Linked DNA regions of Caenorhabditis elegans. The protein of the gene in region 1 binds, or shares a complex with, the protein of each later gene. Each region holds a gene or a part of one and is shown in the gene's direction. Other genes may lie near its edges.

The links. The genes of interacting proteins can lie anywhere in the genome.
Region 2: eif-3.K (region 1) and eif-3.I share a complex: the UniProt entries of both Caenorhabditis elegans proteins name them as parts of the eukaryotic translation initiation factor 3 (eIF-3) complex.

What each region holds. Positions count from the first base shown.
Region 1 is NC_003283.11:12,952,273-12,955,818, forward strand, and holds eif-3.K (Eukaryotic translation initiation factor 3 subunit K), read left to right. Parts: upstream 1-1,729; coding exon 1,730-1,905; intron 1,906-1,952; coding exon 1,953-2,151; intron 2,152-2,330; coding exon 2,331-2,424; intron 2,425-2,476; coding exon 2,477-2,683; intron 2,684-2,792; coding exon 2,793-2,839; 3' UTR 2,840-2,957; downstream 2,958-3,546. Other genes in the region: pqn-68 (D-aminoacyl-tRNA deacylase), read left to right, coding at 366-422, 466-669, 725-916; mpst-7 (Rhodanese domain-containing protein), read right to left, coding at 3,015-3,170. UniProt on the Caenorhabditis elegans protein: Component of the eukaryotic translation initiation factor 3 (eIF-3) complex, which is involved in protein synthesis of a specialized repertoire of mRNAs and, together with other initiation factors, stimulates binding of mRNA and methionyl-tRNAi to the 40S ribosome.
Region 2 is NC_003279.8:2,483,939-2,490,287, forward strand, and holds eif-3.I (Eukaryotic translation initiation factor 3 subunit I), read left to right. Parts: upstream 1-1,922; 5' UTR 1,923-1,930; coding exon 1,931-2,066; intron 2,067-2,869; coding exon 2,870-3,303; intron 3,304-4,273; coding exon 4,274-4,628; intron 4,629-5,502; coding exon 5,503-5,561; 3' UTR 5,562-5,849; downstream 5,850-6,349. Other genes in the region: abtm-1 (Iron-sulfur clusters transporter ABCB7, mitochondrial), read right to left, coding at 1,260-1,337, 1,385-1,444; ddx-10 (ATP-dependent RNA helicase), read left to right, coding at 6,046-6,252, 6,299-6,349. UniProt on the Caenorhabditis elegans protein: Component of the eukaryotic translation initiation factor 3 (eIF-3) complex, which is involved in protein synthesis of a specialized repertoire of mRNAs and, together with other initiation factors, stimulates binding of mRNA and methionyl-tRNAi to the 40S ribosome.

The sequences.
Region 1 (3,546 bases):
AGAGTTATATATGCTCAAAATCTATGAAGTGCATCCACTTTCTACAATCAAGGCTATAGCTGCTACAGTCTACCGTATCATCGATTTCTGCTCAAATTTAAGAACTCCTGTTGAAAACAACGGCAAGGTGGCCAGCAAGCAAACCGCGAGAGAGTTGGTACATTTCTTGTGAAGGAGACCGTGTACAGATTCCACGTCGCGCTGGCCGAGCCTTTGAGGACTAGTAATACGGTGGAGTGTCGTTAGCGCGCTCTGTTTAGCAAACATTTTTCATTTATTTTTAGGGTTTTCAAGAGAACATTTCAATAGTTTTCATCTGTTTTTTTTTGTATTTTTAACATTAGTTGTTTCAATTTTTTTCAGAAATGAAGGTAGTTCTTCAACGAGTTACTCGAGCTGCAGTCACCGTAGGTGATGAAGTGGTAAGAATATATTAACCGTTATTGTTTAAAATATCATAATCAGGTAGGTTCCATTGGAAGAGGTCTGTGTGTGCTTGTCGGAGTTCATCGAGATGACACGGAAGAGGATATGAAGTATATCATTAGGAAAATTTTGAATCTACGAGTTTTCCCTGCTTCGGAACAAAAACCATGGGATAAATCAGTTATGGATCTCGATTTAGAAGTGCTGTCTGTCAGTCAGTTCACCCTTTACGGTCAGTTTAAAGTGAGTTTTGTCTAATATACTTAAACAAAACTATTCATATTATTTCGTTTTTTAGGGAAATAAACTGGACTTTCATACCGCAATGGCCCCAACAGAAGCTTCAAAATTTTATGCTTCTTTTCTTGAAGCCATGAAAAAAGCTTACAAAGCTGATAAGATTCAGGACGGCAAATTTGCAGCAATGATGAGCGTCGATATTGTAAATGACGGACCTGTTACAGTTACTTTTGATAGTAAAGAAAAATAATAAAAATTTGTTTTACTACTGTTGAATTTTGTACAATTTTGTTCATACAGCGGTTTGATTCCGTCATCATATCTTAATTATTTTCATATATTTATATTCTCTGGCAAAACCTCATATTACGTATACCTTAAATGCGAGTTTTCAATATCTTACGCACATTGGTCTCACCACGCAGACGACGACTTACTGTAACTTTTGTCGATTTATGGATTTTGCATTAAATTTTGATTATATAAATCGTAACAGAAATTTTTCCTTTAATTTGAAAATTATGAGGCAAATGTGGCCCTTAATTTGACACCAGTTACAGTAACCCGATATCAGCGTGGCGAAACCCATACGCTGAGTTTTCCTCTAACAATAGTTTTTTCTTATTTCTAATGTAAATCTCATTAAAAACTGAAAAAAAAACTTGGAAAAACGTCTCCATTTCAGTTTGTCTGATAGCAAATCGAGTTCACTGAAATCTCTTAACCCAAATGGGGAGTGCCTCTAAAATCGAGGAAGATCTGTGCAGGATATGCCTTCAGATTTATTCGATGCGCCTTTAAAACTATTGTTATTTTGATTGAGAAAATTTTTTTTCTTTCTCTTAAATATTTTTCTATCAGTTTTGATGTGTTCTGTAGCTTTTTTTCTAATTAATGGAGAAACTTAGCGTAATTTTAATCGATTTGACAAAAGATGTGCGCAACTTTATGCAAGATTTTTTTCACTTTGCGCAGGACTTCATCGAGTCTGTTCAGGAGTTTCACTCTACTTATTATTTCTCGCAGAGTTTCTTTTCTTCAATTGCTATAATTTGTTTTTAAGATGTCGTTCGAGAAACTGCAAAAGGAATTGCACGAAGCTATCGAAGGAGTAAACCGATACAATCCGGAAAATGTTGCCGACTTGGCTGCCTGCGTTCAAGCTATGGTCAATGAAAACAAGTACGATAAAGATATCGTTTTGACCATTCTCAAGCTCTACCAGCTTAACCCGGAGAAGTAAGTATTCAAGAAGATTAATAAATTTCAAAGAGAATTTTTCACAGGTACGACGAGGCTGTTGTTCGACAAGTTTTGCTCAAGACGTTGATGGTTTTGCCATCGAGTGATTTCGCTCTCGCCAAGTGTCTCATCGACACCAACAGACTCGGATCTCAAGAACTTCGCAGAATCTTTGATCTTGGAGCTGTGCTCGAATCTTGCAACTTCGCTGTTTTCTGGAAATTGGTGAAGGGGGCGTATAAAGTGAGTTTTTACACTTTTCAAAGAATAGATTTATCTAATATTGAAACAAGTGAGCTTTTCAAAATCAAACCTTGTTTTGTGTGCATCTGAAACTCAGTATTTATTTCAATGCTGAATCTATTTATTTTTGGAATATTCTTTAATTTCGGCGTACGACTAATCAATTTTTAAAATTTCAGCCAACAACGAACCCAAATGAACCCTTCAAAGTTCCTGGCGAAGTCCCAAAAATGATCAAGCCAATGGTCGGATTCGAGGATGCTGTCAAGCACTGTCAGTTAAATATTATTTTTATTGCTTGACAATTTCAATACCAAGTTTTCAGATGCTTGTCGCGTCATCAGTGTTACGTTCCAAAAAATCGAAAAGAAAATGTTGAGCCGTCTTCTCGGCGGAGCCAGTGACAAGGAAGTTACCGCACTGGCACAATCATTCGGATGGGAAGCCAAGGAAAATGGAGATGTTTTCTTTGTTGCAAATCACGAAGGAACTATCAAAACAAGAAATATCGACGAGAAAATTCAATTCCCACGTGAGTATTATGCGTATTAGGTTTTTCAAACGATTTAAAAAATGTCCTAATAATCGAAGAACAAATTTAAAATGCCTAGTAAAATCTCAAGTGCATCTATCATTTTCAGATGTCGCCGATCTTCTGACCAGCATTCAACCCCCGTTGACTCTTTAATATCAATTATCACTGTCATTCAAATTATAATACCCTTGTTTCTGTTGTTCGGTTTTCCCCCGTTTCTATTCCCTTTCCTATTTATATTTCCTTTATGTTTTCATGAACTTTATTCAATATTCACTTTTACCCGCATTTTATGCATATAATATTTAACATGGATCTTCTTTTAGCGTCAAGTCTCCGTCGTTGCTCCGATGACTCTCAAACCGTCAGGTGCTCTGACTACCCATTCAGGCCACCCGCCAAAATAGATCTTCCCATTGTAACCAGATCGTGTCAAAGCCCACCAAACCATTGCCGATCGAAGTGACGTGGAACAGTATATAATCTGAAGAATATGATCTAGCGAGAAATATTATCATAATTTCAAAAGATTTTAGCATGTCTTCTCGAAGACGCATGGATTCATCCAGATTGGTCTCGACGCGCAAATAAGTTTATGGTACTTCTTTAATTTTGCATTTTTCAATGAAATTATCTTGTTTACAGGGTGGGCCAAAAGTATGGTAACACGTTTGCAGCTCTATAACTTTACTAGTGAAGAGAGTTATTACATCAATTTGTACAAGTTTTGTTCTCCATAAAATACTGACCAGATGAACGTTTTGAATTTTCAAAATGTTCCCATCCGCATCGCTGCAGGCCTTCAGAACTTTTGAGATCACGACCTTTATGGCACGCAAGTCGGCATTCTGCGGTTTTTC
Region 2 (6,349 bases), on another chromosome or scaffold:
TTTCTGAAAAACGTGCTATTTCATCGTATTTTAGCTTAAAAATACGATTTTTTGCTCGAAAAATCGCTATTTTGACCAAAATTCAACGGAAAATTCAATTTTTCCATTAAAATTCCACTGAAATTCATATTTTTCGAGGTAAACCGCAGGTTTCGTTTGCTCCGATGAGCTGTTAGAGTTGAATGCCAGTGGACAACTTGATAATGGACAAAATGTGAAATGTAAGCAGAATAACGAAGGAGAACTCAGTTTTGAGTTCGGATCAGAAGCTCAGAAGAAGAATTAATTGATTTTTTAATGTCTTTTTTCGAATTTGGGACACGTTTTTGGTGCTTTTTGAGCTAATAAAGTTGATTTTTGAGCATTTTTTCATGATTTTAGGGTGTAAAAACCTAATTTTACACCAAAAAACTGGGTTTTTCGGATGAAAAATGCAACTTTCCAAGTTCCTTTGGAGCTTCCGAGCTTCATCTCAAATTTGTGATTTTTGAGAATTGTTTGAAGCTTGCGACAACACAATTCCTGGAAAACGTGCTATTTCATCGTATTTTTGCTTAAAAATACGATTCTAAGCACGGAAAGTTGCTACTTTGAACGAAGTTCAACGGAAAATTCAATTTTTCCATTAAAATTCTACTGAAAATCATATTTTTCGAGGTAAAATCCAATTTTCGCAGATTCCATTTGTTGATTTTTAAGCATTTTTTTAAAATGATTTTAAGGTGAAAAAATCCAATTTTCCCCGAAAAACTGGACTTTTCTTAAGAAAAATGCTAGATTTTTCCAGTTCTGGAAAGATTCCCACGTTCCAGTGGTGCTTTCCAGCAACTTTTTCACAAATTTCTGTTTTTTTTTTCAAAATAAACTGCTTTTTTTTTTAGAAATTATATATTTTTTGAGCAGAAAAAGTGAAAATTTCGATATATATTAGGCCTAAAATGGAATTTTTTGAAGAAAATTCAGAAAAAAATTAATTTATAAAAGAGAAAAATCGATATCTCAGCTACCGTAAAAGCTTTAAAGGCGCATAGCAAAATTTAATTCTAACTTTAGAGACTGTAGTTTTCGCTTCGAGACCACAAGCTTATTTTTCGCTCTAATTGGCTAAAAATTAACTTTTTCGAGGCAAAAATTTCTGGAATTAGCTTTAAAAAATGTGAAAATACATATTTTTAACCTAAAAATTCATGGAAATTTCTATAAAATGTTTTTTAAGGATTTTAAAACGTTTTTTTCAACAAATTATCGCAAAACCCCACATTTTTACTAAGAATCTGTGTGGCATTTCTGATGAGTGCTGGTGATTTTGTCAGTGACGAGAAACTGCGGTAAACTGCCTGAAAATCAATATTTTACCGGAAATTCTCGGGTTTTTTAACGATACCTGCGATCTGATAGTGTTTGACGCGTTCCGTAGGCCAGCTATTAGTCGTAATTGTAACATTATCGATCTCTGAAAACTGGATTCGGTGAAGCTTTCGCAAAAAAATCGATGAGAATTGAGAGTTGCGAAATTTAGCAGTTATTTGTGGTGGAACATGTTAAAATTTGAGTTTTTAATTAATATATTGCTAAAAATTTGATAAAATTCACTTTTTAATTGTTGAAAACTACTGAAAACCACTCGAAATTGCTGAAAATTGCTGAAAATCGAAATTTCGTCAGCTGATGTCGATTATTCTGCGCGGGGGTACGGTACGCAAGTCCGCAAACACTGTCACGCCAAATTGCGGAGGTTGAGCCAAATCCTATTTCTTGTTGTTTTTTCGCTTATTTTTCGAATATTTCCCATGTTTTCTGGCTTCTAATTTTCATTTTTTTAATGGAATTTATTAATAATTAAGCCAATAATTCATTTTATAATCAAAACTGCCGAATATTCCACCAATTTCTCGCAGAAACCTTCAAAAATAGGGGATTTCTTTCAGAAATGCGTCCACTTTCGCTGAAAGGCCACGAACGTGCTCTCACTCGGGTCCGTTTCAATCGTGAGGGAGATTTGACGTTCTCCTGTGCTAAGGACAAGAAGCCATGCGTTTGGTATACTGAAAATGGAGAGAGAATCGGTATTTTTGAATATTTTCGCGAAAAATTTTCGCAGAATTAAAGGTGGAGTAGCGCTAGTGGGAAAATTGCTTTAAAACATGCATATGGTACCACAATGACCGAATATCATGATTAAAAATTTCAAAAAAATTTTCTAAATTTTATATGATTTTTTGAAAATTGAAAAAATCTCAGTTTTTGCCTAATTTCAATTTTAATTACCGCCAATTGGATTTGTTCGATGGAGCGCGCTTGCACGTTTTTAAATTTATTTATTTTATTTATTGTTATTTTCCACCGATTTTTAATGTTTTCGGTGTATTTTTGCTTGAATTTTAGAGAAAAAGTCAAAAGAATTGCAAATTTTCAATTAAAAAGCACGCTTACAGGCGTAAATCAGTGAAATTTATTAATTCAGGTTCGAAATCGTTTAAAAGCGTTACTTTTCATTTTTTACGCCTCTAAGCGTGCTTTTTAATCGAAAATTTGCAATTATTTTGACTTTTTCTCTAAAATTCAAGCAAAAATACATCGAAAACATTAAAAATCGTTGGAAAATAACAAAAAATAAAATAAATAAATTTTAAAACGTGCAAGCGCGCTCCATCGAACAAATCCAATTGGCGGTAATTAAAATTGGAATTAGGCAAAAACTGAGATTTTTTTCAATTTTTCAAAAAATCATATAAAATTTAGAAAATTTTTTTGAAATTTTTAATCATGATATTCGGTCACTGTGGTACCATATGCATGTTTTAAAGCAATTTTCCCACTGACGCTACTCCACCTTTTAAATATATTTATTTATTATTTTTCTTTTCAGGTAGCTACGACGGGCATAACGGAGCCGTGTGGGATATCGACGTCTCATGGGACACTACCAAGTGTGTCACCGCGTCCGGAGACCTCACCGTGAAGATTTGGGATGCCGAGCTCGGCAACTGCCTCTACACAATCAACCATCAGACTCCGATGAAGTCGTGCGGATTCTCGTATTCAGGAAATTTGGTGTGCTTCACCACACAAAAGATGACAAAGAATCTCTCGACGTTCCAAGTCCGAGATCTTCGTGATTCAAGTCAAATGGTTGAGGGTGGAGAGTCATTCTTCTACTCACAATTCGATGTGAACGCCACGACCGCACTTTTCACTCAGATGGATGACCTCGTGACGATCGGATTCGAGTCTGGACTCCTTCAGCAGTACGATTTGAGAAATCCGGATACACCAATTCACACTAACGAGAGTGTTCATCGTGTTCGTCATTTTTTCGTTGTTCTCTGGAGCGCTTGCTGACACTTTACGATCTCCTGAATTGGCGGAAATTTTATTGCTAATTTTTGGTTTTTATTGTTGTGGGGAAACATTATTAGAGCCGAAAGTGTGTACAATTTGGAAAATTGGCGAAATTTCGCATTAAAAAACCGTGCGCGGCACAGTTGCGAAGAAGGCGTGCCAGGGTTGCATCCTGACTCCGCACACAAGATTAAAACCAAAAATTCGAAGAAATAATTTAGTTTTCTCGAAAAATGGAACAAAATCGGCAGTTTTTTCGATTTGAAAGCCGTGAAAATCTCATTTTGAAGAGAAAAAGCAGCAAAATCCGGCAGTGATTGATTATTTTGATTATTCTAATTTTTTTCAATGAAAAAACCAATTAAATCAATTAAAACTGTATTTTTCTCTACAAAAAATGTATATTTTAAAATTCTGAAATCAAAAAACTCCCGATTTTTGATGTAAAACCTTAAATTTTACGCGTTTTCGAGTCGTATAAAGCTTCCCAACAACAATATCCATCAAAAATTTATATTAATTTCCATAGAAACCAAAATTAGCAAAAAAACCTTATTTCCCGTGGAAACAAAATTCCGCGAATTCGGGAGTTCGTGAGGTGTCAGCAAGCGCGCTCCAATGATTATAAGACCGAGGCTCCACGAAATTCAAGATCTTGTGGAATTCCGGATCTGGCACCGTACCAACTCAAAAAAAATTAACGCAATTTTTCTGGAAAAAATCCTGACAACGATGCTCCGATGTTACGCATCGCGTGTTGTTTAGCGTTTTTCCTGAAGAAAATTTAAAAAAAAACCACATTTTTCTTCGAGAAAACTGCGAAAACTGCAGTTGGCACGGTGCCAGATCCGGAATTCGACGAGATCTTTAATCCGTGGTGCCTCCGTGATTTCTAAAATAATTTCAAAAAAAAAATTTCCCAAAATTTCAGTACAGCGTCCAAGATCTCCAACTATCACCACGCGGCGATTTCCTGATCTCCGCTTCACGCGACAAGACGGCCGCCCTGCTCGACGTGAACGATCTGAAAAAGCTGAAACAATACAAATCCGAGCGTCCCGTCAACTCGGCATGCATCTCACCGAATCGCGATCACATTTGCCTTGGAGGAGGAGAAGACGCGATGCAGGTCACACAGACGTCTGTCTCTGCTGGACACTTTGAAGCCAAGATCTATCATATGGTGTTCGAAGAGGAATTCGCCAGATTCAAGGGACATTTCGGACCGATTAACACGATGGCCTGGCATCCATCGGGCACAATTATCGCGACTGGAGGAGAAGACGGTATGGGGATTCCACTGCAACTTTTTTTTTGAACGAGGGACGAGGAAATGCGGTTTCTAGGCCATGACCGAGGATCCGACAAGATTTATCAGCAATTTATCTTGCTTTGTTTTCCGCGTTTTTTCTTTTATTTTTCACCGATGTTTCCCCCGTTTTTTCTTATTAAAACTGATGAAGAAATATTGTTTTTGCAGATGCTAAAATAATTTTCAAGTGAAAAAATTGTGAATTCAGCCGGCAAGTAGCGGTGGAAGTGGTCAATGTAATATGATGGATTACGGGAATACTAAACCTAAACTTTCTTCCAAAACATGCTATAAATGCTGCTTAGATGCTGAAACTACCTGATTTTAATAACGAGACCGCTGAAAAAGTTTTGAGATTTTCAAAATTCAACCTTTTTGGCGAAAAAGTCGAGATTTTTCCACAAAATGTTGAATTTTGAAAATCTCAAAAAACTTTTTCAGCGGTCTCGTTATTAAAATCAGGTAGTTTCAGCCTCTAAGCAGCATATGTATCATGTTTCGAAAAAAGTTTAGTGTTTAGTATTCCCGTAATCCATCATATTACATTGACCACTTTCACCGCTACTTGCCGGCTGAATTCACAATTTTTTTCACTTGGAAATTATTTTAGCATCTGGTTTTAAAAAAATTTATTTATCAGTTTTAATAAGAAAAAAACGGGGGAAAAATCGGTGAAAAATAAAAGAAAACTCGCGGAAAACATTGCAAGATAAATTGCCGATAAATCTTGTCGGATCCTCGGCCATGGCCTAGAAACCGCATTTCCTCGTCCCTCGTTCAAAAAAAAGTTGCAGTGCGATTTGAGGATTTTTCATATAAAAATTCAAAAATTATTGATTTTTTTCCAGGTTACATCAGAATTCAAGAGTTCGACGAGGACTACCTCGGCTTCACCTACGATTTTTAATTTGTTCTACGTTTTCGTTTTCTTCCTGTTTCCCGGGCGATCGTATTTGCCAAAAAAAGACCGTTTCCCCCTTTTTCCTACTCGTTCCTGTTGAAAACCGCCTAATTTTAGAGTTTAAATGACGAATTTAAGCCTATGCAGTTCGGAAAACCTTTAAAATTTATCAAATTCTAAAATTACGCGGTGGTGATTTTCTGTTTTTTCCATTTTTTCCATATTTAAGATCAATTTTCGGTGGCTTTTAATTGTTTTTTTTTTCATAAATAAATATTATTTTGAGTTAAAATTGATCTATTCCCTCGAATTTCTTGGTTTTAATCTCCAATTATTATATTTTTAAAAAAAATTAATTTTTTCTCAATTAAAAATTAAGAAAAATTGTGGGCGGAGTCAGAATGCAACCCTGGCACGCTTTTTTCGCAACTGCCGCGCACGATTTTTCCTGCAATTTTTAAATATTTTTACCCAATTTTCAGCGTTTTCAATGCCTCACACAAACGGAAAAGGCGGCGGAGCACAGAAATGGGCTGGAAATAATAAAAGAAAACGAAATTTCGATGGCGAGCAGGATCCAAGTGTCAGAAAAGCGTTGAAGGAGAAGCGGCTTCTGAAAAAGAGAAAACAGGATTTAAAGGGACAGGAGGAGACAATGCTCGACGAAGTTGAGCAGAAATATCAGGAAATGCTCAAGGTAGCTCTAAAAAATAGTTTTTTTATTAAAAAATCGATTTTTCCAGAAAAGCTCCCGCACATTTCTCCGCTTCGAGGATTTCCCGCTCTCCTGGAGG